Tamandua tetradactyla: one gene and its partner. Each later gene encodes a partner of the first gene's protein in a complex. Links are inferred from orthologs where the notes say so. Each region holds a gene or a part of one and is shown in the gene's direction. Other genes may lie near its edges. The genes, in order: UPF2 and UPF1.

The links.
Region 2: the proteins of UPF2 (region 1) and UPF1 are in contact, whole or in part, in a crystal structure (PDB 2WJV), measured with the Homo sapiens proteins. The link is inferred for Tamandua tetradactyla from reciprocal best matches to the Homo sapiens genes UPF2 and UPF1. Residues at the interface, in NP_056357.1 of Homo sapiens: Val1105, Cys1107, Glu1109, Asp1110, Phe1113, Ile1114, Ala1116, Leu1117, Met1120, Met1121, Asn1124, Leu1125, Arg1128, Met1169, Pro1170, Phe1171, Val1172, Met1173, Leu1174, Thr1175, Gln1181, Lys1184, Leu1186, Asn1187, Val1188, Pro1189, Ser1192, Gln1193, Leu1194, Asn1197; in NP_001284478.1 of Homo sapiens: Asn150, Thr151, Ser152, Gly153, Val157, Asn158, Leu160, Val161, Arg162, Lys164, Lys166, Pro175, Leu176, Gly177, Thr179, Tyr184, Cys188, Asn190, Val191, Phe192, Leu193, Phe196, Pro198, Asp202, Ser203, Val204, Val205, Val206, Leu207, Cys209.

What each region holds. Positions count from the first base shown.
Region 1 is NC_135333.1:50,917,183-50,932,780, forward strand, and holds the start of UPF2 (regulator of nonsense transcripts 2), read left to right. Parts: upstream 1-7,594; 5' UTR 7,595-7,728; intron 7,729-8,074; exon of another isoform or gene 8,075-8,785; intron 8,786-10,923; exon of another isoform or gene 10,924-11,077; intron 11,078-12,473; 5' UTR 12,474-12,491; coding exon 12,492-12,853; intron 12,854-15,509; coding exon 15,510-15,598. UniProt on the Homo sapiens protein: Involved in nonsense-mediated decay (NMD) of mRNAs containing premature stop codons by associating with the nuclear exon junction complex (EJC).
Region 2 is NC_135337.1:95,943,698-95,959,977, reverse strand, and holds the start of UPF1 (regulator of nonsense transcripts 1), read left to right. Parts: upstream 1-9,945; 5' UTR 9,946-9,954; coding exon 9,955-10,172; intron 10,173-10,418; coding exon 10,419-10,491; intron 10,492-11,408; coding exon 11,409-11,551; intron 11,552-12,088; coding exon 12,089-12,178; intron 12,179-13,700; coding exon 13,701-13,868; intron 13,869-14,217; coding exon 14,218-14,398; intron 14,399-15,032; coding exon 15,033-15,194; intron 15,195-15,588; coding exon 15,589-15,706; intron 15,707-15,836; coding exon 15,837-15,935; intron 15,936-16,280. UniProt on the Homo sapiens protein: RNA-dependent helicase required for nonsense-mediated decay (NMD) of aberrant mRNAs containing premature stop codons and modulates the expression level of normal mRNAs.

The sequences.
Region 1 (15,598 bases):
AAAGGAAAAACCCCAAGAAAACCCCCTAGTAACGTGTGTGCAATACTACCATTAGCTGGCCCCATAAAACCCTGAATTAAACTGTAATCGGGGCCACTCTGGTTCTTCACCAACTTGAGCCCATCCTTCTTTAGGACATCTTTCTTCCTCTCTTTACTCCCTGCTTTTAACAAATCACCTTGCTCTCAACCTCCACTCAAGTTTCAGTTCTTTGTCTCAGCGAGTCAAGGACCAGGACTGCCGGCCAGGTAAGGCCAGTGCTAACAAGAAGACTCTTGGTAATAAATTGTTTCCAGCTATGTTTCTCAATGTGACAGCATCACCTTCGATTATGAAGATAGCTACTTTGATTTGGATTCTCAGACACCTGGAAGCTGTGGTGATATGTGTTGTCAAAATTAAATTAAAACCTTATAGTTAGGAATCATTAAATCTAATGTTCTCATCTTAAAAATGAGGCATTTGAGTCACAGAGAGGTTAAAATCAACTTGGCTTAGTTTCACAGGGTGGTTCTGAGTGGCAGGAATTTAAGATTTGTACCCAGGTCTTGGATTCCTATTTCAGTTTTCTTTCTTTTGTAGTAACATGGGTAAAGATTTAGCCCTACACTGGGCTGACTCAGACAGACATTCTTGTCTTGTTAAACTATATTATAAAATCGTGTCTTTTTTATTCTATACTTTAGGTAAAAAGGGCTATCTATATTATCATGTGTGTGGTACTCAGCTGTATAAGGTGGGGAAGATGTCCTATAATGAGAGGAATTATTATGTAGAAGGATAAACTTTTGGAAATCTGACAGTCCTGAGATGAAATCTTTTTTAGTAGTTGTGTGATCCTGAGCATGTTGTTTTAACTACACTAAGTCCTAGTTTCCCCATCTGTAAAAACAGGGAAAAATAGTTTCTACCAAATAGAATCATTGGGTGAACTGATGTCTGACACACATTAATGTATCAGTTTCTGTTTATTACTCTCAGTATTAAAAACTTGAATTAGCTATAATGGAGATCAAATGAAGGGACATGGAATTGTGGAAATAGATGAGAACACCCATATAAGAACTAAGGTTATTTCTTCAGAGCATGTCATAGCAAAGGAGTCAGTTCCTATCAGCAGTGTTTGGCAGAGACTCAAAGCAGGCAAGGGTGTGGGAAAACTTTATAGTGCAAAGAAGGGAAGACTCCAGGTGTGCTCTGATTGGAGGCTGCTGCTGCAAAGGGGAGCTGGAAGTGGGACATCCTATGTGATTGGTCAAGGGAGCATATTTTGCTTTTTTTCGGTTGGTCCTAAGTTGGAAATAGGGGCAAAAACTGGGGAAACTGTCAGTTATCAATCAAGTCCTGGCTATTTTGGGTCAATTGTTATAGGGATTGTGGCTTGACTTCCTGGGATGTTTGTTGTAGACAGTGGTTGGCTTCCTGGACTACTTTTTTGCAGGTAATGTGCCAGTCTCTTCTGGTCTGGTTACTGCTAACAGAGTTTCCTGGCCATTGTCCATTTGTATACACAGTTTCTTAATCTCTTTTGGTCATTTTCTCCCTTGCAAGAGGCTGATTAATTCAGGGAAAGCAGGAGATCCAGATCTTCATGGCTCAGAGGTTGTTCAGTTGCCTTCATAGTTAACAGCACAGCAAGATCTTGACCTTTGGTTGTTGTATCATCATGATAATCATGTGACGAAAAAGCAGCTCTGTAGAAGCATTTAATACTCTAGATAGAATGCAAAGGACCAGGATCATGATCACTATGACAAAAACAAGAACAATTTGTAGTCCCCGTAAGATGCTTTGGAATCAGGGGCCCCAACAAGAACAAAGCCCATGAACCCTGATGATCAACCTTAGAGAGCCAAATAGCTTTTTCCTTAAGGTGGTGTATAGCCTGTTCCACTTTGCATGTTTCATTAATCCAAGTACAACAAGAAGTATTAGCAAAGACACAGATGCCACCATTACTAGCCAACAAGGAATCTAGAGCAATGTTATTGTCCATCAATATTCTTGCCAAGGAATAGTCTCAAGGAGCTGAGTCAATTGAGCTCAGTCAATCAGCTTAATCAACAGATACAAAATGAATTATTTCACTATCAGATGATTAATGTTATAATAGAGGTGTTCAGAGGCTGGGGGTAGGGACCTAAATCCCTATATATGAGTTGATGGTGATAAAGAATGGCTTCCCATGGAAATAATGCTTGAGCTAACTAGTCTGGAAGTCTCATGGGAGGGAAGGCATTCTAGCAGAACTATGTCATACAACGAGGTGAGAGGAAGTTCAGTACATCCAGATTATTTGTTTTGACTAGAATTTAGACACATGAGGAAGTAGTAGGAGGTGAGGTTAGATATTATGGCAAGAGTCATATTATAAAGGGCTCCTGCTAAGGACTGTAAGTGAGTGACTTCCAGATGGGTTGGCACATTCAGGGGTGTGCCAAGATGATGTATTTAGGCAAAAATAGTAGAAGTTCTGTTTAGATCTATTCTTATCTTATCCTTTCAATTTGGGAGTGTGTATTATGATGTGTGTAATGTATTTGTGTAGTTGTACAGATATTTTATTTTATATCTAAATAAATATATTTATTCTGCATGATTGAAGTTGGAGAGCACCTTTGCCATTGAAGGTTTTTTCTTGCAGGGGAGTAGAATGATGAGGTGTCTTTCTGAAACAACACTCTATTGGAAGTAGGCGCAAGGTTAGAAGCAATTAGGGAGAAGAATTGGAATAATAAGGTGGGCTTCAGATGGTGCATTTGGAGGTGATAGAGTTGTGGAGGAAGATAAAGTCAGGATCTTTTAAAGAGTTTTTTGAAGATCTGGTTGCTTGCACTTAAATAAGGAATAGTGAATGAGGATTGTGGCACCATTAATGTGAAGAATATTATATTCTTTAATAGTAGATGGGGTAGAGGAACAATCTTAACTTTAGTTGTGAACATTTTAGGCTTGAAGCATATGTGGAATATTTTATCACAAATGTCCCGTGACAGAGACTACAAATATTAGTCAGAAATTCAAGAATTCAGACTAATTAAATCACATAGGGTTAACTTTCTCATCACTTATCCACTAGTTTCACAAAGTATACTGAGACTGGTTGTTCTGCTGGACAAACTGAAGAGAATTATAAATTAGAATTGATAATTATATTTAAAAATCTCTGTCATTATTGGTTACAGTACCTGAGAAAATTCTTCTTTCCCCTTCTGTGGTAGTTAGATTCAGGTGTCAACTTGGCCAGGTGAAGGTGCCTAGTTCTACTGCTGCGGACATGAGCCAATGGCATGTGAACCTCATCTGTTGCTGTATCTGCAGTCGGCTAGGAGGTGTGCCTGTTGCTATGAATGATGTTTGATTTAATTGACTGGTGCTTAAATGAGAGCGCTCAACATAGCACAGCCCAAGCAGCTCAGCATACCTCATCTCAGCACTCACAGCTCAGCCCAGGCCTTTGGAGATACAGAAAGGAATCACCCCGGGGAAAGTTGTTGGAACCCAGAGGCCTGGAGAGAAGGCCAGCAGATATCGCCCTGTGCCTTCCCACGTAAGAAAGAACCTCAGATGAAAGTTAGCTGCCTTTCCACTGAAGAATTACACATTAACTAAATAAATTTCCTTTTACTGAAAGTCAATCCCTCTCTGTTGTGTTGCATTCTGGCAGCTAACAGACTAGAACACCTTTTAACCCCTTTCTTTCCTTTCTTAAATGTTTTATTTTGAAATAGAACAAATTTATAGGAGTTACAAAAATAACACAAATCCCATACAGAGAATGCCAACACACCCTACAGGCACCCCCCAAAATATAGATCCACCTATTTTACCACATTTACCATTTTCTTTCTTTCTGAACACCTGAGTGTAGGTTCACACATCATAATCCTGGATGCTTTCCTCTTTCTACATTTTCTTTGATCTCATTCATTTTTAGGGCTTTAAATATCATCTATGTTGATGCCTATAAAATTTTTATCTCTAGCCCACAATTCTAAATTCCAACTGCTCATCTGTCACATCCAATGAGGTCCTTCTAATTCTTCAGGTTTTAGGCTCAAATTTTGCATCATTAATTTTGCATTTTTCCTGACACTCTAAAGTTTCCACCTTCCCCTCTCCTCTCCATTACACTACTTGTTTATTTCCTTTCTAGCATTTATCCTACCGTTTCCCTTTTTTGTTCTTTTTACTGTCTATCTCTCTCATTAGGTCACAATCTCATTGAATGGCTTTTCATTATTTACCATGCACTTTTCTAAGCAACTTTGTAAATCTTATGATCTTTTTCTATTTTTTCAACAAACCTTTGTTTCAAAGCTTTTAAACACATTGTTTCACTTCTATTTTGGTCAAATTAATAGGCACTAGCATAGTAAAGTGGTTTTCTTTATATATATATATTTTTTTTTTAATTGGGAAATCTTCACACATACATTCCAGACATGGTGTACTATCAATGGCTCACAATATCATCACAGAGTTGTGTATTCATCACCACGATTATTTTAAGAACACTTGCATTATTCCAGAAAAAGAAATAAAAAGAAAACTCATATCATACACCTTAGCCCCCAACTGACCATTAGCATTTCCATCCACCCAATTTATTTTACCTTTTGCCCCTCATATTATTCATTTATTCTTTTATCCATATATTTGTTTATTCATCTGTCCATACCCTGGATAAAAGGAGCATCAGACACAAGGTTTTCACAATCAGTCACACTGAAAACATTACATCTTTATACAATCATCTTCAAGAATCAAGGCTACTGGAACACAGCTCAATAGTTTCAGGTACTTCCTTCTATCCACTCCAATACACCATAAACTAAAAAAGGATATCCATATAATGCATAAGAATAACCTCAAAGATAACCTCTCAACTCTGCTTGAAATCTCTCAGCCACTGAAACTTTTTGACTCATTTCTCTTTTCCCAGTAAAGTGGTTTCCAATCTTTCAGTTTTGTGACAAATTTCAATATGGTTCAGTAATAAGTGACTTCTTATTTAGAAATTCACATTTCTTTTTTAATGGACATGTCTCAAGAGGTTATTTTACAAACTGTTAAGGAGAAAGTGGGAGGAGGGAGGGAGGCGAGAGGATGAGAGAGATTGAGAGAGAGAGAGCGCATGGAAAATTTTTTGCTGGAGAGATAACATGAAGAGGTAAGCACTTATAGGAACAAGAAGCATAAAGTAGCTCAAATTAAACTAAACAAAGAGCTGATTTTTTCAAGCAAATGCTCAGTACAGCTCTACATCATATTATATTCTTTTGATGTCAGTGGATGCAAGCTATGATTACAGCAGGTGTGACTAACCCAGTGCTTCTATTTTTTTTTTTTAACTCAGGGTTTGCCCTGCCCAGTAATTGTAATCTCTGCCTCCTGTTTTTGTTGTCTTCTGTGATGCAACAACTCTTTGGTTAGACTTGCAGTAGAAAGTAGTAGAATGTAAGTCTATGTAAGTAAATAGAGTGTTTTAAATTTTCTCAGTTCTGTCAGTTTCTGCCAATTGGAGCAGGCACAAGGGAAAAGAATAGACTTTTTGGAGAATGTTCTCGAATAATGAAATATCTACAAACACTTAAATGCTTAATTCAATGTATTTTCAGAAAATAGTGAAGTTTGAATTATTATCAGATTGCAAAGCTGGCTTCTTCACAGTAGTGTGCTTCTTCCGGTTATGACTCATAACCAGTGATATCCCCATAGGAGGCTTTTGGTGGCTAGCATCTTTCTTTAGAAATAAAGTAATTGGCAGCATTTTCAGTCCATGTATAAGCTTGCATAACGGAAGTGGGATATAGTAAAGACAGCTTGGGTTTGGAGTTAGACAGACTTGAGTAGAATACTAGATATTATACCTACTAGTTTTACAATTTTGTGTAAATTACTTCATCTTTTTGTGACTCAATGTCCTTATCTATAAAATGGGGAACATAATTCCTACGTACAGGATTGTGATTTTTAATTAAATTAACAAACATAAAATAGCAAATGCTCAGTAAAAATGCCCTCCTCTTCTCTCTTTGATTTCTGTACTCCCATGATTTCCTTTCAATGACATGAATGCTGGCAGTCAGTGTGATTGAGGATGGGATGAGGAGGATTTAGACTTCATAAAGTACTCAGACATAAGGACAAAAAGGTAACTTTGAAGAGAAGTGTGGGTTACTGTTCCAAAGATGGTGTTTTGGAAGAGTCCTCTCATAACTGTGTATCAGTGGTTCAGAACAGCTGTATTACTGTCTGTCTCCTTCTTTACTACCTTTTAAATTACTCATCTATTGACGGTATTAAAAAAATTAAGTACAGGAATCTTCAACACTCAATTTGGGAGGGTAATTTACATGATAACTATAAATGGAAAGAAAACAGTAGAGGCAAATGGGTAAAGACTGAATAAAAGGGAAACTAGACGTGCCTCAAGGGTTTGAGGCTGGGAGCAGCTTCTATTACAGGCTTGGATGTCGGGTGGGGTGTCGCACGTAAACCAAGAGTTTTAGGTTAGTTCTGCACCTTTGTTTCTCTTGATCCTCACCAGCCAAAGCCAACCGGTATGAACACCCGGTAAGATCACTCAGATCACGTTGGTACAGCCTTTCTGCCACTTTTTCGGTATAAATCGGAGGTTAAAATGCCCAATTTCAGATGCTCTGTGGATAACTATTATAAAAAACTGACTTGGGTTCGCATTCGAACAAGTCACGAAACTTGCCAATTTCCTTGTTTTTTTCTTTTTTTTTTTAAAGGGAGATTTCATCCAACAACTAAGAGAGTTCATTCCATTGTAATTTTTTTACTTCCTTGCTGGAACCGGGCATTTTCTATGAACCATATGGGAAAATCCTTGGTTCTCCGCTTTGAGATCTTTTCAAATCGAACACCTAAAACCGCTTCTGGAACTCTCCCCACAGGAATTTCGTAATTACTAGGCGACTCCTAAAGCTTGACCCATTCTTAACCAATTTCTGCTCTCCTCACGAGCCACATTCTTTATCCTCTCCAGCTTCCAACTTCCTAAGTCTTCAACCTCTACTCTTGAATTAGTCCAATCAAACTTTCCTTTCTTAGACCTCTTCCTCACGTTCGCACCGGGAAACTCCCAGGAGAGTCACGTGATCACCTTGTCCTCAAAGGCGCTCCGTAATTCTTCTACTGTTCCCCGCCCCTCCGCTCCGCCCCCTCACCCAGGTGTCTGCGCCTGCGCATCTCCAGATCAGGCGCTTTCCCTTTCCTGGCGACCAATCCACTTCCTGCCTTCGGTCCTCGGAGCGCTCCGCCCCCCTACCGGGGTCCTGGATTGAGGCACTGGTAGTAGCTGCCCTATCCATTGCCTTATGAAAAAATTCGCTCGTAACGTCGAGTAGGCGTTTCGACTCATCCGCTAAGTAGTTGACAACAGCCTGAGCTGTGACTCTGGAACTTCCATTCAAAGGTAGCTCCACGGCACCGGCATGTCTGGGCAGCGGGCGGCCCGGCCGGCCTGCGTAACGGCAATGGCGCGGACAGCCTCTTCCTCCCCGCTCCCCCGCCCTGCCCCCACTCGCAGCCAGGCCGCGCTGGTGAGTGGCGGGCGGAAGGCCGGCGTGCGGAGGGAGGAGGGGTGCAGAGGGAAGGCGGGTCCTCGGCTGCGAGCTGGTGGGGGGAGGGGAGGGGAGCCCGAGCGCTGGAGTTGGTGCTGGGAAACCCGGGGCTGATGTTGACAACAGGCTCGAGGTGAGTCCCGGGGAACCCCTCCGTCTTCGCTCCAACGATCGGGCGGGAGCGGGCCGGGGGCAGAGGCCTGGACCCTCACTCCCGGGGGACCCGAGCGGCAGCTCTTATCCCAGCTCTCCGGGGGCGGGAGAAGTCAAGAGACCGTGGCTCCCGCGTCGTCCTCAGCCGCTCTCCGGGGGGTCCCCGTCTCTTACTGGGGCGGGCATGGGGGGCGGCAGAGGAGGTCCTGTCCTGCATGTCCTGGCCGGGCCTCCCGACCCGAGGCTGGGAGCTCGCCGTGTTGGGGTGAAGGTGTTTGGGGGCGTGGAGTAGAGGAGGGGAGGTTGGGGGAAGGTCTTTGGGCGCTGGGAGGGAAGCGAGGGCGACGAAGTGGGAAGAGTGCGTGTGTGGGAGGATATTGAGTAGGGAGACCAGCCCGACAGTCTTGGGTGGTGAGGGAGTGTGGGGTGAGAAGTTAGGGTTGGGGCGAGGGTGGCCCGCGAAGGTGACCGTGGGTACCCGTAGGAAAGGGAGTTGTGGCGGGGAAGCGTGTGAGGTTTAGGAATGTGGAGCAAGAGCAGGGCTTTGTGGGAGGTGTGTGTGTAGAAGGGGCTCTGGTGAATTTGGGAGGGTAGACACGGGTTTTGGGGTTTACTTTAATCACATAGACTGGTTGCTGCTCCACTTCGCCTCTATCCCAAGCCTCCGAGAACTCTCCTTAGTACTGCTGAGCCAAGGAGATGATCACAGGATATTTGGTCTCCAAGTTGGCAAAGTAGAGCCTCCGTACAGGCGTGGGGATACAGGCTGGGCTGGCCGGACCTTCAGCCCTCTTGCCCTTATAGAATTTATACATAGTAATTCAAGTAAAACTATCTTTCATCTCTCATTTATCATAGTTTTTAGGGGTTCATAAATGAACTGCTCAAAAAAATTTTTTGAGCTCCGGTGAAATTTGTAAAAACGTTGAGAGTCCTTTATTCTCAGGATGTTCTTTAAAGAAGAAAGTCAAGGACTGGGAGATAATACCTTGTGTAGTTCTGTCTTTAGAACAGTTTGAATAACATGGAATTAAAAGGTAAAACAGCATTCTCTTACTCTGAATTACTTTCAGAGCAGTCTAATTGTGATTTCATACGTAAGCCATATGGTACCTTGCAAAGATCTTTAACAGGGAAGGATCTTTCTTCCCTTTGGTGCTCTCTCTAGCATACCCCCATTGGTACCTATTTTACTAGTAGTATTTTACTTTCTCTTGGAAATTCAGAGTATGTTTAGAAAACCGAATGAAATCTACAGCCCAAGTGCTCTACCAGGAGACTGGGGAGTTAAGAAGGTGTGATTTAAAAATAAGGTTTCCTTATCAGAGCTGCCTTGAATATGATTGTACTCAGTAAAATACTTTGTAAGAGCTAATCATATTCCAGTTAAAAGATCACTAATTTTTACCTTGATTATTTTGAGATAGAATCTCTTTAAAACTACTTTTTACTTGATAAACTTGAAAAAAATACTTTAAAGTTCTTGGCTGTTTATTAAAGCACAAACTTATTAAAATAAGAAATTTTATCATTATATAAATATAATTTAATGCTCAGTTTAATTTTTTAAATTGACATAATACAAATGCATGCTGATCTGGATCATGCTGTTTGTATATTTTATTTAGTTTTTAAAATATAGTCAGGGTATACAGTGGAAAAGAGTATTCGTTAGTGAATTTTGGCCCAGCTGCTAAGCCAGCTGTGTAATATTAGGTAGGTCACTCTGCTGCTGCTACCTCAATGAGAAAATCAGAATAGGAGTAGATAAAATTGAATAGTCCGTTTAAATCTACCCATCTCTCATCTTATGATTAACTTCTCAGTGTGTTGTATGAAACAGAATCAGCATTTGAGTGCCCCCTTAATGCTAGCTACTATGATCGCAGTTTTTTATATAAGCCAAGAGCTGTCTTAAGACAGAGCAATTTCTCCGTTTTATCCTTGAAGGAATAGACCTGGAGAATTTAAGTTGCCTGTTTTCCATAGTTAAAGGGTAGCTGAGTTGGGATGCAAACCTAAAGTCTGCCTGATTTCAGAGCCATGTTCTTTTTATATGTATGCTACCTCTGTATGACTTTTAGATTTTTCTTATTTTTTGGTCGCTGAAATTTAGCGCATAATATACATTGGGTGTATGTTTGTGATATAAGGATGAAGGGATTCAAAGAAGATACCAGTATCAAAACTTACGTTCCTTATTAAGAATCTTTGTTTTATCGTGCTCTAGAGCAGGATCTATATACAGTTCGTTTTATGTAATAGGTGCTTAAATAAAAACATGTTGAATGAAGGAATACTGTAGAGAGTCACGAAAGTTTAGCAGACTCTATTGAGCTGATAAATGATGAGCCTATATGAATTTGTCAGATTCTAAGCTAGTTTCTTAATGGTTTTTAAAAAAAATTTGGTTAAGATTTTTTTTATCTTCATAAAATGTTCATTGTAAATTCTGATCCTATCTGTTGTCTGAAAATCATAGTTCCTTATAACCTGAAATGTTATTCAATGCTTCATGTCAGAAAATGCAAATTCTGTATAAACATGAATATATTTTATTTTTTTTCACAAATGTCTAAGACCCCTAAATAAAATTTTTCGTTCGGTATTGTCTTGTCCCCTTTTCAGCCAAATTTGGCAAAAGTTACAAACATAATGTAAAAACTGCTTAGCCATTATCAGGGGACTCTTTCTACTCTGAGATAATTCTATTGTTTGTCCTAGTCACGATCTATAAGCAATTCTTTCAACTCACAGTTTGCTACTCTCAGGGCTCTTGATAGCTTTTGTTAAGAATGTGGGTTCAGATTCCACCTCTGTCACTAGCTGAGGAGACCTTGATCAGGTTACTTGGTGAAGTCTCAGTTTACGCATTTGTACAGTGGGGAAGATAATACCCATCTCATGAAGGTTTTAGTATTAAATAAGTTAATGTATGTAAAATGTTTAGTACTAGTAGCAGTGAGTGGTGGCTCTTAGTGTTATCTTATTTGTTTGAAAGTTTTCTTACTTTTAGAGCATGAGATATTTTCATATGAAAGGTGGGTATTTAATTGAAGATGTATAAGAATCGATTATTACATTTCCAGATAATATATTATAAATGTTAATCTTGTCTTGGCACATAAATAAATAGTTAAATGTTTTCATGTTTTTAAAATGATTTTTTAAACAGGATAACAGCCTTTTTGTTGTTGTTCTGAGTTCCACCAATGGGGTTTACTAAAGCCTTTGGGTGTCATTGTCAAAATGAATGCATAGACCATGGAAATGGAGGAGAATAAGAGAGTTAAAGAGGAAAAGGGGAAGGACGAGGTGGCTGTGAGAAGGTACAGAGTGTGGCATGTGCCTCCAAAAATTACTTAAAGTGCTTCTACTGGCCTAGGTTGTCTTTCTGTGATAATAACATTTTATAAGAGTGCTGAAGCTGAAGTAATTTATTTGTGTGTTTATAAAATATTTATTGTTGCAGATGTTTTGTTTGCTAACCTAGTTTTTGTTTTGTAATTTAAAATCATCTAGGAATACCATGCAGATCTTTAGCTTTTAATAAAAAACTAGAAAGTTTCAGTAATCCTATACTTCTTAAATAGGATTTTCTTATATACAATGTTTTGATGATTTAGGAGTTATAACAGGGAGCACTGTCCATAAAAGAAATTATATATATAAAACAAACTAGTTTGTTCTGAGTTTAGAGAAATGTGTTTTTGGAAAAGAAAAATCCTGAATTTGCAGGGAAATACGGTTTTCTGTTCCAGTTAACTGTATGAAGCCTATAGTACAGATCAGTACTATCCAGTAGGACCAGCTGTCGTGGTGGTGATGTACTATGACTTCACCACCTGATATAGTAGCCACTCGCTGCATGTGGTGTTGAGCATTTGAAATACGGATCATGACTGAAAAACTGAATTTCAAATTTAATTTTATTTAATTTATGTTTAAATAGCCACAAGTAGCTAGTACACTGGTTTTCAGTTGGTGATTTTGACCCCTGGGGAACATTTAGCCCAAAACTTCAGTAGTGCTGAGGTTGTTTCTACTGTATTGGCAGGTGCAGAGTGGAATATATACATTTGATAACCATAATTATGATTTGTTTTTGGTAAATTACTTTTGTCTAATCTTTAATAAGATTTAAAAAATCTAGTCTTAACTGAGATAGTTAACAGTTTGTACATTTGCAAGTTTGATAATAAGATTAGAACAATGAGGTGAAATTTATGAGTACTCTGTTCTCTATTTTGGCCAGTGATTTGTAGGAGGCAAGAGCTCGTTTTTGCTCTCCTTCTCTAACTTAAATACTTCTTTTGAATATCACATGAAATAGTGAACCAGTGGGATTTAGACTGGTTTAGACTGTTCTCAGATATATACTGAAGTATTTATGATTAAATTATAGATTATTTTGGAGTTTGGTGATGGTTGAACCTGGGTGATGGTATATGGAGGTTCTTTGTGTGTGCTCTACTTTTGAATGTGTTTGAGTTTCCATAATTAAAAAGTAAAAAATGCACTTAAATATAAGCATAACTAATAATGATAGAATATGGAATGTGACCAATATATTGTTTTATCACAGAAATAGTATTCATTTTGCATGCATTTATTTAATCTCTCACCATTGCCAGGATGGATTTATGTATACTATTTAAAAAATAATGTCCCTCACTAAAAAAAAGTCACTATATCTGTAATTCTGACACCGTTTTATTCTTACAGATTGTCCTGGGTAACATAATGCCAGCTGAGCGTAAAAAGCCAGCAAGTATGGAAGAAAAAGAATCTTTACTAAACAACAAGGAAAAAGACTGCGGTGAAAGACGGCCAGTGAGCATCAGGGAGAAACCAAAAGATGATATCAAGCTTACTGCCAAGAAGGAGGTTATTAAGGTCCCTGAAGATAAAAAGAAGAAATTGGAAGAAGATAAAAGAAAAAAAGAAGACAAAGAACGCAAGAAAAAAGAAGAAGAAAAGGTGAAGGCAGAGGAAGAATTAAAGAAAAAAGAGGAAGAAGAAAAAAAGAAGCATGAAGAGGAAGAGAGAAAGAAGCTAGAAGAGCAGGCAAAACGACAGCAAGAGGAAGAAGCTGCTCAGTTGAAGTAAGAAAACTTATTTTAATTATTGATGTGAAGTAATGGAAATTTATAATATTTTTTGAGAAAACAAGTTTATTTGAAGTAAATTTTCCTGGGTATATTCCTGGGTATTTGTTAGTTTTAGAGCTTTTATTTAAATTCAATAATTGTAATAATCTTTTATTATGTTTTGAGGTCTGGGGTAATCTGGATTGTTTTTATTGAAACAAAAAAGAAGCTTTTTCATGGTATAATTAGCCATCTTTTTAAGTTGAAAATCTTTAGTTCTTAATAGTTGAATTCTTATTATGTGCCAGATATCGTATTAAGAATATCAGCATTTATCCTTAAAGCAGTAAATTTTATGATCTTCATTTTACAGATTAATAAAATGAAGCTTAAAGCAGTTAAGTAATGAGGTCACAATAAATAATATAGCTGTTAGAATTTGAGCCTGAGTTGGTTAGGTTCTAAAACCTTTGTGCTTAAGCATAATTCCATGTATTCCATTCTTAGCTTTGTTTAAATGTACTTTCAACTTTGTAAATTTGTGCAGTATAATTTAATAAACTAGTAAAAATGAGGTACTCCTCATAGGAAGAACACCAGGATAGAGCAAAAATGACTATTGTTGAATAGCATGAACTCTTTCTCTTCATAGCTATAATTTTAAAAGCTGTTTGCAAACTTCAAATTCCAGAGCTCTCTGGAACCTACTTCCTTACACAAAGTTCTTCTTTAGTACCTTTATTTTTAGTGAGGAACTGATGCCTTATGTCTGGAAGGCAGTAGGGCTAGTTTGGAAATATTCAGAAACATGATTTCTGAGAGTTTCTTATTTTATGTTTTAATTTTTTGTTTTTATTTCTCAGGAGTATTCAGTTTCACAGTAGTTTTTGCTTCCTTTCCCCTCTCATAGAAAAGAGCTTTTTTTTAAACTAACCTTTCATTGGGAAAATTTCACACATATGCGGAAACAGAGAATGGTATAATGCGCGCCACCCCCCCCCCCCCCCCCCATTCATCACCTAATCTCAACAACAGCTTTTTCCCCTGGAGTACTTTCTTTTTTTTTTGTATGCTGTATGGTGGAGGTTGCATTTCATTCTTTTTCATATTACTATTCTGTTATTGTAGCACCATTTGTTGATTTTTCGTGGTGGGTGGGCAGGGGCAGTGTATGGGCCAGGAATCCAACCTGGGTATCCCGCATGGAAGGCTAGATTTCTACCACTGAACTACCCTTGTATCCCTATCCCTTGGAGTACTTTTAAGCATTGTATTATTTCACCTGTAAATATTTCATTATGTATTTTAGATATCTTTAAAGCAGGTGAAAGTTGAGTTATTTAATGCATTTATATAATAAGAGTTATAATTTCTTAAAATGTACTCTGTTGATCCAGTATTTGTGTGTGAACGGTAGACTTGCAACTCAGATGTCTACATTCCCAGTGACAAACGTTCCTTCTCCCATAACTTTTTTTTTTCACATGGGCAGGCACTGGGAATCGAACCCGGGTCCTCTGGCATCATAGGCAAGCATTCTTGCCACTGTGCCACCGTGGCCCGCCCCTCCCATAATGTTTTAAAGCTTTTAGTGGGAAAAGTCATAAAACTCAGGGTAACTCAGGGATGATTATTATAGAAAGGTGAAAAATTAACTTTTCTATTTAAAATTAAAAATTTAAATTAAAAAAATTAATTAAAAATTAATTTAAAAAAATTTTAAATTATAATTTTAAATTATATATAATTTTTTTCTCAGGCACTTTAGTCAGATTGTCCATTTACTACTTCTGCAATTGATACTTGTTCTGTCTTTTTAGTGGTAACATATGCAGATTTATTTCTAACTATCCTTTTCAGGATAAACTGAAGACTTTTATGTGATAGTTTTCTTCTGGTTCCTTTCCGCATTTCCTAAGTCACACTTGAATTTTAAGACCCCAAACCTAGCAAGGTACTTTATTAAAGGTTTGGTTAATGCTGAGTATGGAAAAATGATACCTTATATTTTGCAACATTTTAGTGCATTCTTTCATAAGGCTTATTCCTTCATTACAGTACTGCTTTGCAGACAGTTTTTTTGTTTGTTTGCCAGTGCTTTTATCTGCTTTACATTTTACATCCTTCCCAGATATATTATTTTGTATTTTTAGTGTTAAGCATCATGCAGTTTATGCATTTAGGTTTTTGTCATAATTGCTCCTTAATAATTTATCTATCATTCATCCATCCATCCCATCCATCCTATCTATCCTATCTGTCAGAACCTATCCTATCTGTCTATCCTATCTGTCAGAACCATATGAGAGTAAGTTGCAGACTTGTGGTGTTTTAGCCCTAAATACTTTAGAGGGCATGTCTTAAGAAAAAGGACATTCTCTTATAACCACTGTAATCAAAATCAGGAAATTTAACAATGTCAGAATAATTTTTAGCTTTTCACAATTCTTTGCTTTACTATATATGGAATTAGCAACATACTGAATATTGAGTCATTAATAATAAAAAAATGTTTTCAGAAGTAGAATAAGGGCCTTTTGCATCTTATTTCTCTTGGATTGTAATTCTTATATGATTACTTTTTTATTGGCTTTCACTCTTCTGGGATTTGTCAATGATGCTTCACAATATACAAGGTATTTTATTATTTATTTGTTTGTTTTTAATATAGAGAAAAAGAAGAATCTCTTCAGCTACATCAGGAAGCTTGGGAACGACATCAGTTAAGGAAGGAACTTCGTAGCAAAAACCAAAATGCTC
Region 2 (16,280 bases), on another chromosome or scaffold:
GAAAAGGGGGCGGCTGAGGGTCCCGGCGCTGCGTTTAGGGGGTGGCAAGAAGGTTCTGGAACCAGTGGGCTGCCCCACACCACGGAACTGAAAGGAGGGGCTCCTTGCTTTAAATGGGTGAGTTGTTCGGCGGTGGCTCCGCAGTGCAGTGGGGAAGCTGAGGTTTCCATGTGCTTTCTGGAATTCACATTCCACGGGCGCCCAGTGTTTTCTCTGGCGCCCCGGGCTGGGGGCCGCCCCCAGGTGTGCGACAGAAATATCTGCAGGCAGTGCCCAGTGTGCCCAGGTTGCTCAGCCGTGCGCTGGGGAGAGCGCGGTGGCCCTGCCTATCCTGAGGCCTGGGCAGCAGCTGGGGGGCCAACTGAGCTCCACATACCCTAGGCGCTGCCAGGCCTGGCTGGGGAGGGCACGGAGAGCACCAGGGTGGGCTAAGATGGTACTTCCCAGAGAGCAGCAGGGGCTGGGGGGCCCAGGGCCAGACAGGATGTGCCCCCTGCCCCCACCTGCCCCAGCCTGCGGCCCCCAGGCACGGCCCCATGCTCTGTCCCCAGCGTCAAGTTGTTCCTGGACAGGGGGTCTGTCTGTCTCCCCCCAGCCCTGGAAGTTATAGAGCAGGTCCCCGCCCAGCCTCTCCTGTGTGGCCGTGGGCAGCCACCATCAGCTTTCCGTGCCTCAGTTTCCCCACCTCCAATGCGGGAGTAGCGGGAGCCCATCCCAGGGTGGTCGGGGCGCTGTGCATGAAAAGCTGTGGCAGGGGCCCGGCCAGCAGTCCACGGCCCCGCAGTGTGGCTTCCTGCAGGACGTCCATCAGTCCCCCGGGCCGGACACTTAGGGTGCGTCCTGCATCCAGGAAAGACGTGCCATCTTCCTCACTCCCCTCCCTCTCCCTCCCTAACAGCTCAGGGACGTGTGAGTCACATGCTACACAGTTCACCCTGAAAGGGCACAGTTCAGTGGCTTCAATCTATCCACAGAGTGACTGTCGTTGGTTTTAGAACACCTTTGGCCCCCCGCCCAAAAGAAACCGTGGACCCAAAGCAGCCCCTCCCCCCCCGCTACCCCTCCCCAAGTAAAACCCTCGCTGAGGGGCTCACATCCTTCTGTCCAAGCGTATCACAGAGCCAGCCACGAGGCAGGGTACAAGGATGGGCACTGCTCCCGGCAGGGTGGGCTCAAGCGGCCCAAGAGGGGCCACACAGTCCTGGCCCACAGGAGGGACACAGGCCTCTAGTCCAGGGTCCACCTGCGGGGAGGGGGGCGTGTGCCCCACACCAGGCACAAAGCACCCCACCAGGCCCTGCTGCTAGTGGGAGACCCTGGGGCAATCTCTAGGTCTGGGGTGCAGGCGCCTCAGCTGTGTGCACCAGAAACACAACTAACGAAAGAAAGGGACAGAAAAACAGACGCTGGGATTCGGAGTGGCACGGGCCCCAGGAGGCAGAAGGTCCCGGGTGGTGCGGGTCCCAGGTGGCGGGGGTCCCGGGTGGCGCGGGTCCCAGGCAGCCTGAGAGGCGTGGAGGCATCCTTTGCCCAGGCTTGGCGCAAACAGCACTGGGTCAGCCCCAAGGGCCCCGTCAGCCACTGCCGTGGCCTCACTGGTCGCCTGGGGTGGGAAGAAAGGGGGTGGGGCACAGAGCCTCAGCTTCCAGGGCACAGAGAACTACGGTGCCCTGGAAGGGGCAGGGGGTCAGCTGGGTCAGCCCCTGGGCTGGGGCAGGGCTCCCTCCCAGGGCTCCCCAGCCAGGAATTCTCCTAGGCCACCAGGTTACCTGCCCTGCAGTTTGATGACTGGGTCTGGGAGGGGACAAGTGTCCGCCAGCAGCAACAGACGTTTTGGTTGTTTGCGGTGTGGGTACGTATCAGCTAGCCGTGCTGAGTAACAAACAGTCCCCACACATGGTAGCCTACAGTGGCTGGAGGTGTCTATTATCTCGTGGCTTCTTTGGGTCAGGAACCCTGGAAGGCTTGGTTGGGTGGGTCTGGCGAGAGGCTCAGGGTTTTGGATAGTGCTGGAACTGCCTGGAGTTCACTTGAGGCCGGAGGATCCATTTCCGACAAGGCTCCTCCCCGGGGTCCTTGGCACGGGGTTGCTCGGGGCCCCCGACGCGGCAGCAGATGTCCCCCTGAGTGGGTGACTCTGCAGCACGTAGGGGAAGCTGTTAGGTCTCCACGTCACACATGCACCCTTCCTCCACGTGCTGCCTATCGGAAGCAAGCGGCCGAGGCCAGTCACATGCAAGGGGCCAGTGACAGGAGGAAGCGTGGCCTGGAATCCGAGGACATGGTGCCAACTCCCACAACGCCGAAGGCTTTTGCAATTTTTTTATGGAGGTAAAATGTACACTCTGTGACGTTTCCCATGTCAAAGTGTACAATTCAAGTCTTTTTTTTGTTTTGTTTTGTTTTTGGTTTATTCCCAACGTCATGCAACCATCACCACTAACCTGGCTCCATCATCCCCAAAAGGTTCCCCCTGTCCGTGGGCCGTCCCCCCAGGCTCGGGCACTCCCAGAGCTGCCTCTGTCCCTGCAGATTTGTCTGTTCTGGACATCTTACATAAACGCATCATGCAGCATGCTATGCGTCTGGTTTCCTTCACTTGGTGTAATGTGTTCAAGGTTTTTCCACATCGTAGCGTGCGGCCTCCCTCGTTATTTCTTTTTATGACGAAACAATATTCCGCCCTCTAGCCAGGGCACGCTTTGCTTATGCACTCACCCGCAGCAGACATCTGGGCTGCCTCCAAGCCCCGAGCGGCAGGCGTTTCACTCTGTTGTTAACTTTCTGGAAACAGCCCAGGTGCTTGCCATGGGGCCTGTGGCATTTGCCAATCCCAGCAGCGCCCCGCGGCCCAGCAGCCAGTGCTGGCCACTGTCCCTACCCTCTTGCTTTTGTCACTTGCAGCTGGCGCCCGTGCGGCGGTGCGCAGCGGATCCGCGTGGCCCCGACGGCTGGTGGCGCTGGCTGCTTGGCCTTGTGTTCATCGGCCGTTGGTAGAGCTGCTTTCAGTTTCACTTTCAAAAGTGAAATTCGACTCAATGAATTTTGTAAATGTTCAGACAAACCGCTGGGGTGGGGGGTTGCCAGGGCCCCTGTTCTGTGCCCCTGCTGAGGGGACCGGGTGCTTACATGGGCCCTTTGCAGTTTATTGGGGCTACCTGGTGGTTTGTTGTCATTTCCCTCCTAAACTACGTCTTCCTGTCCAGGGGGATGGCACTCGCTAACCCCGTCCCTGCGAGGGCTCCGAAACAGAGGCGAGTCGGTGGGGGAGAGAGGCCCCAATTCCAGTGGCTCCTGCTGCCCTAAGCGGGAAACTGGGAAGCGGAGGCGCTGCGGGAGGCCGGCCCCCGCCAGCTGCCTGCCCATGCTCCCAGGCTCTGGCAGAAAGGCAAGTGGCCGGCTTGGGGTCACCGGACAGGCGAGGAAGCTGAAAATTCAGTCCCGTACCCCTGAGCTGACCCAGGATTCAAGATTCTGAAACCTCCTGGGCATTTTGGGGCACCGGCATTCCTCCCAGTCAGGTCGACCCTGCCCCCTAGAACTCTTCTGGCAGGAAGAGTTGCTGGTTTAACCCTCGCTGCGCCCTCATGGTCATTATTCCCCTCTGGGCCCCGGGCTCAGAGAGGGTGAGCCACGCATGCAGGTCACACAGGCCGGTTGGGGGCGATGTGTGGGGGGCAGCAGTGGCCACACTTTAGGGGCCTGAGCCCGTGTCCTCCACCCTCACACTCCATGACGTGGGTACCCCCACCCTGCAGTACATGGGGCCGTCCTCAGCCCCGGTCCACAGGCGGAGAAACTGAGGTCACCCCTGCTTTGCAGGAGGTAAAACTGAGGCACCGGGAGCATGTTCCCCATTTCACAGATGGGGACTCTGAGGCCACCCGCATTTCACAGACAGGGAAACCAAGGCCACCCCTGCTTCACAGGTGGCGAAACTGAGGCCTGGGGAACATGTTCCCCATTTCACAGATGGGGAAACTGAGGCTACTTGCATTTCACAGAGGAAACTGAGGTCATCCCCATTTCGAAGGTGGGGAAACTGAGGGGTAGGGAACATATTCCCCAGTTCACAGATGGGGAAACCGAGGCTACCCCGGTTTCACAGAAAGGCTTGGGGAACATGTTTCCTGTTTCATACGCGGGTAAACTGAGGCCTGGGGCGTACGTTCCCGGTTTCACACGTGGGGAAACGGAGGCGCAGGGAGCATGTCCCAGGAAGGACGGGGGTGCGCCATCCCCGCGGGGACTCCCTGGCCGGGCGCCCAAACCCCACGGACGTTGCCCGGCCCGCGCCCCGCCCGCACCCCCGCCTCCCTGAGGCCCCGCCCGCGGGGCGAGACCCCGCCGTGGTTGGGGGCGTGACCACGCCCGCCGGCGGCCGCCGCGAAAGCGGTTGAAAGCCCGGTTCCCGCGCGCGTGCGCACTGCGCTTCCCGTCTTCCCGCTCGGCGCTCCGCGCCCGGGCGCGGTTGGAGGCGTCGGCGCGTTGCCGCGCGCCTGCGTCTATCTCGCGCACGCGCACGGCAGCGGCGGCCTTGCGCACGCACACGGCGGCGGCGTCGATCTCACGCACGCGCACGGCGGCGGCGGCGGCGGCAGTTCCCGGCCGGGGCAGCTGCGAGCTCGGCGGCTCGGGGGGCGCGGGCGGCTCGGGGGGCGCGGGCGGCGCGGGGCTCGCGGGGTCGGTGCGCGTGCGCTCTCGGCCGGGCTCGCGGGCGGCGGACGGTTCGGGGCGGCGCGGGGCGCGCGGCGGCGGCGGCGGCGGAGCGCGGCCTGCGGCCTAGGCCTCGGCGCGGCGGCGGACTCGAGTGCGGCAGGAGGCGGCCCGGTGGGGCGCGGCGGCGCCATGAGCGTGGAGGCGTACGGACCCAGCTCGCAGACGCTCACCTTTCTGGACACGGAGGAGGCCGAGCTGCTCGGCGCCGACACGCAGGGCTCCGAGTTCGAGTTCACCGACTTCACCCTCCCCAGCCAGACGCAGACGCCCCCCGGCGGTCCCGGTGGCCCTGGCGGCGCGGGCGGAGCGGGCGCGGCGGCCGGACAGCTCGACGCGCAGGTGAGGCACATGGCGGCGGCCGGAAGCGGCCCCGGCCCCCGGCCGGCTCGGCGACGTGTCCCGGGGGCTCCCTGGCCGGGTTGGGGCGACCGGCCCCCGGAGGGACCGAATTGGGGGCCCTGCCCCTGGGGCAGCCCCCGACCGGACCCGGGGCAACTGGCCTCTGGGCCTCCTGTTCCCGGGGCAGCCTGGCCGGAACGTGGGTGGCCTGCGTCGTGGTCTGCGCTGGTCCGGTCGGGGTGGTCCCCCTGGGGTGCCCTCCCCTGCCTTCAGGCCCTGTCCAGTGGGTGTCGGGGCGACTTGCCTTGGGCCCCGCCTGGGTGGGATCCCTGCCTGGCCCCACCCCCCACCTGTAGCCCTGGCCGCGGTACCCTCACGGACACCCACCGAGTCACCCCTTTCCTGGCCCGGGGGCTGCGAGCGCGCCCTGGGCTCGCTGGGGCGGCCACGCTGGCCGCGGTGAGAGCGCGCCTGGTCGGGTTGTTTGCCCGCAGTGCTGCCTGTTGCTGAAACCGACCTGTTACGTAACCGCTCCTTGCTGGGGAAAGTTGGGTCCGAGTTTGGTTCTCGCTGGGGCCGCTGGTGGTGGCCTTTATTCCCATGCGCCGACTCGCTCCGCGTGGACCGTGAGCACAGCCGACTGGGTGTTCCAAAGTTGGGACCTGGTTGCGAGGGGAGCAGGACTCACTGCCCGGTGGGCGGCAGCGGGGCTGGGAGAGGGCCGCCGACCCCGGGGAGCCCCAGGCCCACCTGGTCCTGGGAGGGCCCTCCATGCTTGGCGGGGGGGAGGGCGGTGGCGTCCCAGCCCCGGGGGCCGGTTCATGTTCAGGCCGGTGAGTCACACTCGTGGGTAGACCACCCACTTGGGTTTTCTTTGAGCCCTGAAAGGAAGCGGAACACGCTTGTTGCTTTTAACCCCTGATTCCTTAAAATGGAAGGCCTCAGGGGCGGGGCTTCACAGGGACAGGTGTGCTCCCTTTTGTTTCCATCCAGGCTCGGGGGGACAGGGGTGCCGCGGGGCGTGTGCCTGGAAGGATAGGGGTGGACCTGGGTGCTGGGGACGTCTCAGGTTCGTTTTCATACCCCAGAGCCCTCGCCAGTCCCAGTGTTGACGGCTGTAAAGTGGGGACAGCAGTTCCATTTGTCACTTCGAGCCCGTGAGAACTCTCGGCCCGGGAGAGTCAGTGAGATAGCTCGGGACGGGCCAGGGCGTCCTTTTTCTGTGGGTGTGCTCCGGGGCCGCGGTGCGGCGAAGCTGGGAAGCATCCAGCTCTAGGTGTGCTCCTTGCAGTTCTGTTTGTGATTAATTGCTGGGCGTGTCCTTCTCTTTCAGTCAAGGTAATCAAGGTGTTTGTGCACCTGAAGGCCTGTACAAAATCGGGGCGTTCAGATGCCCCCTGGGAGGCCACCTGCAGCGAAGGTCTCAGATCTGTTGACATCTAGAGGTTTTGTTCCTCGCTGCATTTAGTTAACGAGGATCACCTTAGGCTTTGTATTTTCCTCCCAGGGTGTCCCCACCTTCCTGGTGTCTAACTTTCCCTTTGTGTCTGGGGGAGGGATGTGGCCCGTTTGTGTTGTGAAGGAGGTCCTGATTTGGGACAGGAGAAGCTGGGATCGTATTTGGGATGTGAGAGAAAGTTGACTGTCTCAGGCCAGTTGGTGGCATTGGTTGCTGAAAATGTTTGGGGAGATTTTCCTTGTTTGTGCTCAGAACCAGTTGTTTGGTGGAGGCTTCCAGAAAGACTCAAAATGCCTCCCACTCTGCTTCTTAGATGAGTGGGCCTGCTCAGTTCCTGGGTTTTGGCGAATTTACTGAGGTCTGCGTCGCATGCCATGCAGTTCACCCATTTAAAGTGGATAGGGCCACGGTGGCTCAGCAGGCAGGGTTCTCGCTTGCGGTGCGGTAGAGTTGGGTTCGTTTCCCGGTGCTGCCCATGTGAAAACAAGAGTTAAAGTGAATGACTCAGTGGTGTTCCGGGCATTCACAGCATCAGCCACTCTGTCTAGTTCCAGAGCATTTTTATCATCCCAGAGAAACTCTGTCCCAGCCCCCGGCTGCCCCTGTCCGCTTTGGTACCCTTTGGAGTCAGGAGGAGACTCTTGTTTTCCTGTGTGTGGAATCATATACCGTGTGGCCGTCGGCATCTGGCTGCTTTCAGCCCCATTGTGCTTTCAGGGTCCACTCGTGTTGTAGGTGGGTCCAGACTCGACCCTTTTTTATGGCTAAGGGATCATCCATCATGTCCATCGGTTGCTGGGCATGTGGTGTTGCTGTGAACAGTTGTGCCCTTCTCCGCGTGCGTGCCCGTGTTCACTTCTCGGTGTATTCGTAGAAGTAGAATTGCTGGATCACACAGTAACCCTGCAAGTGTTTGAGGAACTTCCAGACTTTTCCAACGTACAGCCACTTTTGAAGTCAATCTTGACTGTGTCCAGTTTGTGCCCAGGTGATTTTCATGTAAAACCTTGAAGGTGGGGTGAGAGCTGCTGGGATGGGAGGGCAAATGGGGGACCCGGCTGGGCCCGTGCCGGCTCAGAGTTCTTGTTTACAGAGTGAGCCTGGCACTCGTCAGGCCCTTGCGCGTCTAGTGTGAAAGCGTGGGCCTGGGTCCGGGCAGAAGCGGGAAGACTCTTTTCTGGGCACCTGCTTGTCCTGAACCCCCAGCCCCCAGGGGACAGCGGTGGTTGAGGAGCCTCTATGCATAGCTACTCTCCCAAGTGGGGCTCCTGCCTCTGACCACCACCACGGGGGGCTCAGGTCCTGGAGCCCCTCCGCCCACAACCCCTATCTGGGGCAGACTCTGGCTCTCTAGGTGTCTTAGTTGTTATTTTTCTGAGTTGGTCCTGATCTGGGTAATTGTCCTGCCCTCCTGTCTTTGGGGCGCTCACTCGGTCAGAGTTGTGTCCCCCGTCTCTAGCAGTTTTCTGGAGGTGTGACTACATACCATTTCTTGATTCGAAGTGTATAATTCAGCAAGTCTTAGCAGCTGACAGGGCCGCACTGGGGTTTTGCTCATGCTTTCTGTTCTTTCCTTTCTCCCCTCTGTTTCTGCTCCTGCTCATCTTTTCTCTCTCACTTGGTCAACCAAGTGATGTGGAAACTCGGGCTCAGTCCACCTCACACCCGATGTGTGGTGCAGCCAGCAGAGTTGGCCCTGTGACCCCGCTGGACCCCTGCTCGGTGGTGGCCTGTCACTCCAGAAATGGGCAAGGGCTATGGCTCCTGTCCAGCCTCGGCCCCCTTCTCTGCAACTCCCTCTCCCCAGCCCTGCGGGCCTGGAGGGTGCTGCCAGGGCAGCTGCTTTACCAGAGAATGGCATGAACTGCCTCACCTGCTGGGGTGTGCTGAGAGGGTGGGGGCAGCAAGCAGGGGGCCCAAAGGATGGAATGGCTCTCTGCAGGGACGCTTTGTTTATAGGGCGGTTCTAGGCGAGGATGGGCCTTCAGGGTACTGCCAGGGCCTGGCCGGTCCAGGACTGCATCTGCAGGTACAGTGCTGGCCCTGGGGGTCACATGCGGGAGCAGGGTTCCAGCCCAGGCTCTGAGACCCAGGTCAGGCCCTGCTGCTGTCTCTGGCCCTGTGTCCTGGGGCCAAGGGGGGCCACAGACCTGCAGTGATGGCATCCGAGAGGCCCCTGTGAAGGGGACCGGGGCTGGAAGAGGAGCTCGTATCAACGGCCTTATCCCTGGGCTCAGGCTGGGCGGGGGCAGCAGCCATTGGGAATGAGGGGCCGGCGGGACCCCCTCTGCAGGCTTTTGGGGAGCAGAGGATGTCTGACTGTCATGGCAGTGTGGACAGTCCAGGCAGGCAGGAAAGAGTAGGGTAGGGGAACCCCAGGGTCGGCCTGTCCCTTAGTGGTTCACTTCCAGGTGGTTTTGAGAGTAGAGCCCGTTCCCCCCTGATGAGCGGGGTGCTGGGTCCTGGGGGCCTGTGGCCGGCACGGGCTTCTCTGTGTAGATGAGAGCAGCAGGGCCTGAGCTGGGTTTTGGGGCCTGGACTGCCTGCGTGGGCACAGAAATTGACACCTGTTTTACCCCTGGGCCGTGTGGGTGCCCCTTTTCCACAGCCCATGACGGGGAGCTCCTGGTGCATGCAGTGCCCCGGCCTGGGGGTGGAACCTGCCCCCAGCACGTGACCCCCAGAGCCAGCCCGAAGCCCAGCCTGCTATCCTGTCCCCTCTCCTGTCTTCTTCCACCTGCACCCGCCCAGGATCCTTGGACCCACAGCAGGCCGCAAGCTTTGGCCTTGGGTTGACTACGAGCGCCTGGAGAGAAGAAGGGCGTCTCGTGCGTCGCCCTGCTGCGGCGGGTGGACATGGGCACCCCTTTCCCATGGCCCAGCCTCTCTGTTTGCTGGGCAGCGGCGCCTGGGCAGTGGCAACCCCTTCTGGGGTCGGGTCCCTGGCGCCAAGGCAGCAGCCGGTCCCAGCAAGGATGATGGAGAGGGCCCGCGCCAAGTATGGCTCACTGGCCGGCAGCCTGTGGGCCCCAAGGTCTGAGCAGACCCAGGCCGGGACACCGGGGAGCGGGACTGTGTGGAGAGCAGCCCCTGCCATGGCACCTTGGCTGGTGGCCTCCACCAGCGTCGCACAGTCACACACGGCTGGGCTTTCTCCGGAGGAGGCTGGGGCGTCATCTGCGGTGCATGGGCGCAGGGCCGTGGGGGGGTGCGTTCCCTGGTGAGGCCCCCTGCAGCACCCCCACAGAAAGGGGCTGCCCGTTCCTCTCTAAGAAAACCTTGGCATCGAGGCCTAAGGATGGTCCCTCCCTCTCGGTGTCTGGGCTGTGGCCCTGGGGCTCCCTGGTGCCGGCCTGCCCTCAGTGCCCGGGTCGTGGCAGGGAGGGGAACCCTCGAGCGGGGCCCTGGGGAAGGGATGGTGACTGCAAGGCCAAGGGATGGGGATGTCTTCAGGTTGGGGAGTTGCCGGGGAGGGCCGTGGAGCGAGACTTGAAGGCCACAGAGGCCAGGCCGCGGCAGGCGCTAGTCGGGCCGGCTCCACATGTGAGCACCAGGCTGGCTTCACAGACCCCCATCTGCAGCGTCTGCGCTCACAGCATGCGATTCCAGTCCCCAAGCAGGGTGCCAGGCACCCCACCTCATGGCCGCCTGAAAGGTGCTGAGTAGGGACATGCCCTTGTACTGCGGGTTGAGCGGAGGTGGGGACAGAGACCCACGGCCTTGGCGGACTCGGGACCCCAGGTGCAGGCAGTGCAGGGTCCGGGAGTCCGGGCCAGAGCGGGGTGCTGCCCACAGGGACCCGGGGCCCTGGCGTCCTGGCTCAGGGCTGGGTTTTAACACATTTCATTATCCCTTCCAAGGTCACATCTTGTTGCAATACTATGTGTCTCGACTCTTTCAGTGATTGGAGGGGAAGCGAACAACCTGGCTACAGCTGTCAGTTTTGCATTGTGCCCAGAAGTGGTGGGCAGAGGGTGAGAGCGTGGGGGAGAGAGCGAGCGGGACAGAGGCAGGAGTGGGGCAGGGAGGCTGGGTAGGTGGGAGAGGGTGGCACGGACCCTTGTCTCTGTGCCTTGCTGATGAGCCCGCAGGGTCCGGGGCTGGCCAGGCACTGGGTGCAGGCTTCTCTCTGCCCTTCACTGGTGGCAACTCAGGGAAGGAAGCACTGAGAGCAGTGGAGGGGTGCACGCCTGGGGCCTTTCCCTCCTGGGCTGGCACAGGCGGAACCGTGGGCGCAGGGGCTCACCCCACCCCAGTATGGAGGGAAGGACTGGAGCAGGCATCTGGAGGACCTGGGGGTCGTGGGGAAGGGTTTGGGAATCGAGGGACAGCAATGCGAAGTTCACACGCCGCCGCGTGGCCTGGTTCCTTGCCGTTCGCCGGGTCACTCCATTACTAGAACTGCAGTCGAGGCCAAGGCCCAGGATGCGGGGTGGGGCCGGGTGGGTGCTGGGTCTCGGCAGGTGGCCTGTGCGTCCAAGGCCGAGCTGACAGTGGTTTGGGCCGGTGGGGGTATCCCTCTGAGGGCACTAGGGGGAAGCAGTGCCTCGGCAGGGGTCCCAGGCCTGAGGGGCTCTTGCCTGCCCCCTTGTCTGGCTGGGCCCCGTGAGGGGTTGGGTGGGAGGGGCCCATGGAGGGAGTGCGGGAAGTGATGCCTGGAGAGGGTCCAAGAGGGACTCGCTGAGGGTGACGCCTGCGTGATGGGGCGTCGCTGTCCCTGTGCAACTGGTGAGACTCTCCCCTAGGCGTGGCAAAGTGTCCCCTGCTGCACCTGGACATGGCCATGGCTCTGCGGCCGGCAAGGACAAGGCCTAGGTGGGGGGGTCGAGGAGGTGAGAGGCGCCCCTGTGGGTCGGCCGGGGCTTCACAGGTGACGTGCCGCTCTATGCAGGTCGGCGGGCCCGAGGGCGTGCTGCAGAATGGGGCCGTGGACGATGGCGTGGCCAAGACCAGCCAGCTGCTGGCCGAGCTGAACTTTGAGGAGGACGAAGAAGACACGTACTACACGAAGGACCTCCCCGTGCACGCGTGCAGGTGAGCCCCGGGTCTTTGAGGAGGCCCGCCCGGGCTGTCCTTGTTTCCGGCACACATGGGAGGAAACCGAGGTCGAGAGAGGTGGCAGCGCGCTGCTCAGGGAGGGCTTTTCCTTTTCCTGGAGTTGCGCTTTGCTCACGTTAATTGATGAGTGCACAGATGCCCCTGTCCTGGCAGGCCGCTTGCTGTGTGTGTGTGGTGGCCCTCTGGGTGGCTGGAGAGGTCCCCACGCGGGGTCCGCGCCCGTCCTGGAACACAGTCCCCTCGGCCCTGCACGTGTTGCTCCCATGGGGAGGATGTGCCTCCGAGACTGCAAGCCCGGGGTAGTGGCCTGCGCAGCCCGGGGTCTCCTGGTGGCTCCCAGCACACCTCGCTTCTGCCTTGTCTTCTGTTTTATGAGGATCTGTTATTAGCACTGTTGGGTTTGAGTATGTGTTTAACGCAAGACTTAAAAACGCCATGAAAGAGTCTCACATACTGCCTCACGCACTTGGGAGCGCAGCCTTCCAGGCTGAACGGTGGTGTCTTGCTTTCCAGCTACTGCGGGATCCACGACCCCGCCTGCGTGGTCTACTGCAACGCCAGCAAGAAGTGGTTCTGCAACGGCCGCGGGAACACCTCCGGCAGGTAGAGGCCCGGGCAGGTGGCCTGCGGGGAGTGCGGGCAGTGGGCAAGAGGTGCCGCGGGAGCCACGTGGTGGCCTGGGAACACCTTCGCCTCCTGCCTGGTCTGTCCTCTGTGACTCTTCTCACATGCGCGTGGGGTTGGCTTCATTCTTGGCCCAGATTTTCACTATGTTCTTGCGTGAGGTGAACTGCTGGCCCGCCCCGGCCAGAGGGACCTCGGGGCCCGGGGAGGTGGCCCGGGGAGGCTGTGGGCAGAGCCCACGCGGCGGAGCCCCAGCGTGTGGCCCTTGCACCTCTTCTTGCTGTCGATCAGCATCGGCCGCAGGACTTCGGGTGAGACGGACCACTTGGCTATTGCACAGCTTCTGGGGGCACAGCTGCTGCCTGGCTGGGCCTTCCCACCCAGGCTGACCGGAATGCCCAGCGCTGCCCCAAGACTCCCATCTCTGGAGACTTAAAGTGGCAGAGTGGTAGGTCATACCACCAGCTCACCTCTACTGGCCACGTGGGCAGCCTCTCTGCCCGGCTTGGGAGGAGAGTGCCGACATCTGCTGGTACCATGCGCTGGGCTGGTAGAGAGGACAGGCACTTTCCGGGCAGCCTGGAGCACACGTGCATCCCGTTTTCAGGATGGGCTGGGGCACTGCAGCTCTGTGTGCTCATTCCTTTCCAGCAGGAAAAGCAATTAAACAAAAGTGCACATAGCCGGCCACCTCCGTTTCCGGTCAGCTCAGCCAAGAACAAGGAATCAAGCAAAGGGCCTCTCAGAAAAACAAGCTGGAGTCAACAAACACTCATGTTTTGTGCAAGCTGTTAGCTCTCAGGGGACTTAGGGGGTGAGGTGGGCAAGGAAAAGCAGGCCAGGAGAAAACAGGTGATTGTGGTGGAAGGTCCAGGGCTGTGGGGAGGGGAGCCCCCCCCCAGCGGGCAGAGGCCTGGGGTGGCTGTGTCCAGAGCTGGGACCTGGGGTGCCAGTGGCAACTGTGCTGTCAGCCACAGTGCCTCAGACGAGCTCCTGGGTCCCTGAGGGCGGGCTGGAGTTGGGGGGCCCAGGGGGCTGTGGTTTACAGAATTGGGTTGTGGAATTGGGGGCACAGCAGAGGCTGCCCTCCTGGGGGCCTCCCGCCCTACCCACCAGTTCCTCCAGCCCCAAGAGGGTTGGTGACCTCCGGGAGGTGGGGCCTCCGCCCACCTGCAGGGGCTGCTGCACCTGGAAGCAGGCACGGGTGCTGTGTGGAGAGGAGCGGCCGTGAGGCCTTCAGGGCATAGGGCGAGAGGCCTCTTGTGGCATCCTCCTCGGAGGCCTTAGGAAAGCAGGAGCTGCTGGACCACGTTCAAGCCAGGATGGGGCTTGTGCGTGCTGGGGGCGTTGGGGGAGCCGCCGGTCTCTGGGGCGCCAGGTGGAGGAGGTGTGACCGCCTCTGCTAATGGGCCGTGACCGCCCGCACCGGAACGCGCCAGAGCGCTGGAAGCAGTGAGAGGCCAGGGTTTGGTGTTAACTCTGGGTTGTTTCCTGGTTTCAGCCACATTGTAAATCACCTCGTGAGGGCAAAATGCAAAGAGGTGACCCTGCACAAGGACGGGCCGCTGGGGGAGACGGTGCTAGAGTGCTACAACTGCGGCTGCCGCAATGTCTTCCTGCTAGGCTTCATCCCGGCCAAGGCCGACTCGGTGGTGGTGCTGCTGTGCAGGTGGGGGCCCTGACCCGGTCGGGGGCTTGGTCCTGACAGCAGGGGGCTGGGGCACGGGGGCTCGGCCGTGCCCGGGAAGGGGTGTCCGGGGCCTGGGCTTGCCGGAGTAGGGAATGCAGTCAGCTCCCCGGGGTGCGTCCGGTTAAGTGGTGGAAGCAGTTCTGTCAGTATAAAGCGCATTGTGCATTTTGAGGGTTCAGAGTGCAAGTGTGCAGGGACGTGAGCTCTGCTTCTCACCACTGAGTGGGCAGTGAGTGCCTCCGACAGCGTGGGAAGCACGTGACCAGGTGACGCAGGAGTCCTGGGTAGTTGGGGCCGGCGGGGTGGTGAGTGTGTCCTGCATCCGCAGGCAGCCCTGTGCCAGCCAGAGCAGCCTGAAGGACATCAACTGGGACAGCTCCCAGTGGCAGCCCCTCATCCAGGACCGCTGCTTCCTGTCCTGGCTGGTGAAGATCCCCTCGGAGCAGGAGCAGCTGCGTGCCCGGCAGATCACGGCACAGCAGATCAACAAGCTGGAGGAGCTCTGGAAGGTGCGGCCCGTGGGTGGGGCAGGGGAGGACCGGGCAGCTGCATGTGGGGTACCCCCCTCAGGACTGCTCCTCTCGCATCCCCAAGGGGACGATCGGCCGGCTTGCTCCACGCGCTTCAGGGGACAGCAACCTGTGGAGTGGCCCGGTGGGGCCCCACCTGGGTTGCAAGGGCTTTGTTCCACGCAGGGCGAGGCGCTGGGTGCCCATCGGAGCATCCCTGGGGGCCCGCCTCCTCCCACCCCACTCAGGAGCCGCCCCCCAGCCCTAAGGCTCACTGCTGAGCCTTTTGCCAAAAGTTTTAATGACCAGACTAGGAATTTTAATTAGGCACTGGCATGATAAGAAGTAGCCGATGCGAATGTATTTTCATCTTGAGTACAAGTGGGAGTGTTGTGTAGCAGGGTCCCTTTCCCGTTCACTTCCAGGCTGCCAAGCTTATTTCATTGTTCCCTTGAGGAGCAGGCGGGGGGGGGATGCTGCTTTACCCCCCTTTTCTAAGCCCTGGGTCGGCTCCTTCCTGGAAGCCATGGGGTCCTTTCGTCTGGTTTGAGTGCACACTGTCTTCGTGGCTGCTGGGCACTGGCTTACTCACCATCCAGTGGGGAAGGAGAGCGTGTGGGGTCCTGTCTTCCAGGAGAACCCCTCTGCAACCCTGGAGGACCTGGAGAAACCAGGGGTGGATGAGGAGCCCCAGCACGTGCTGCTGCGCTACGAGGACGCCTACCAGTACCAGAACATCTTTGGGCCTCTCGTCAAGCTGGAGGCAGATTATGACAAGAAGCTCAAGGAGTCCCAGGTGGGGCCCGTGGAGTGGGCTGCGCGGGCACCAAGCACCCTCAGCCAGGGAGGCTTCCCCTTCGCAGAGGCGCCGTACTGCCTTCTCAGCTGGACCCTGTGTGGACATGCCCAGTTCACTGGCGAGCCTCAGGGAGAAACATCAGGCCGTTTACTGGTTAAAATGCAACAAAGCCCCCCTGGCAAGAACCCCTGGTGCTGGCCGGCAGTCCCAGGAGCTGACTGCAGTAGCCCGAGGGCCAGGTTGCAGATGTGCCCCTGAAAGTGGCGAGAGCCTGGCCCTGCCCTCTGCAGCCAGCTCCCCTCCCTGCCCTAGCTCCACATGCCTCTCCCGCGCCGGCCCTGCAGCCAGGGTCTCTGTCTGCACCTGACGCCCGTCTCTCTCCTGTTCTCAGACTCAGGACAACATCACGGTCAGGTGGGACCTGGGGCTCAACAAGAAGAGAATCGCCTACTTCACCTTGCCCAAGACTGACTCTGGTAATGAGGACTTAGTCATAATTTGGTTAAGAGGTGATTCTAAGTTTTAACATACTTGTGACTAGTAGCCTAGCCTCCGTGGCCCGCCCAGCGCCTCGCGCCTCACCCTCCTTGAGGTGGCAAGGGCTCCTGGCGCGCTGACCCTCTCGCTGTCTCTCCCCAGACATGCGGCTCATGCAGGGTGACGAAATCTGCCTGCGTTACAAGGGGGACCTGGCGCCCCTCTGGAAGGGCATAGGCCACGTCATCAAGGTCCCTGACAGTATCCTTCACGCGGGGCTAGGGGGCATGGGCACAGCCCTCTGGGCTGTGGGGAGAGTCAAGCACCTGGGCCTCTGTGGGGGGCCCTCATGGCCATTACTGGACACGGCATATGGGGGCTGGGCCAGGATGGCCGACCACGGGGCCCTGGCCTGCTGGTCAGAGAAGGGGTGGGCTTGCTGCACCTGCTCACACCTGCCAAGGCTGCCCCTGTGGGTGCGTGGCTCACAGGCCCTGCTTGTGGTGGGCAGGGACAGGGGCCCATGCTGGCTATGTGATCAGAGGGCCCTGTGACCCTCCAGTGTAAGGTGCAGTCACCCCACTTCTCGATGAGTTCTCGAGGCCA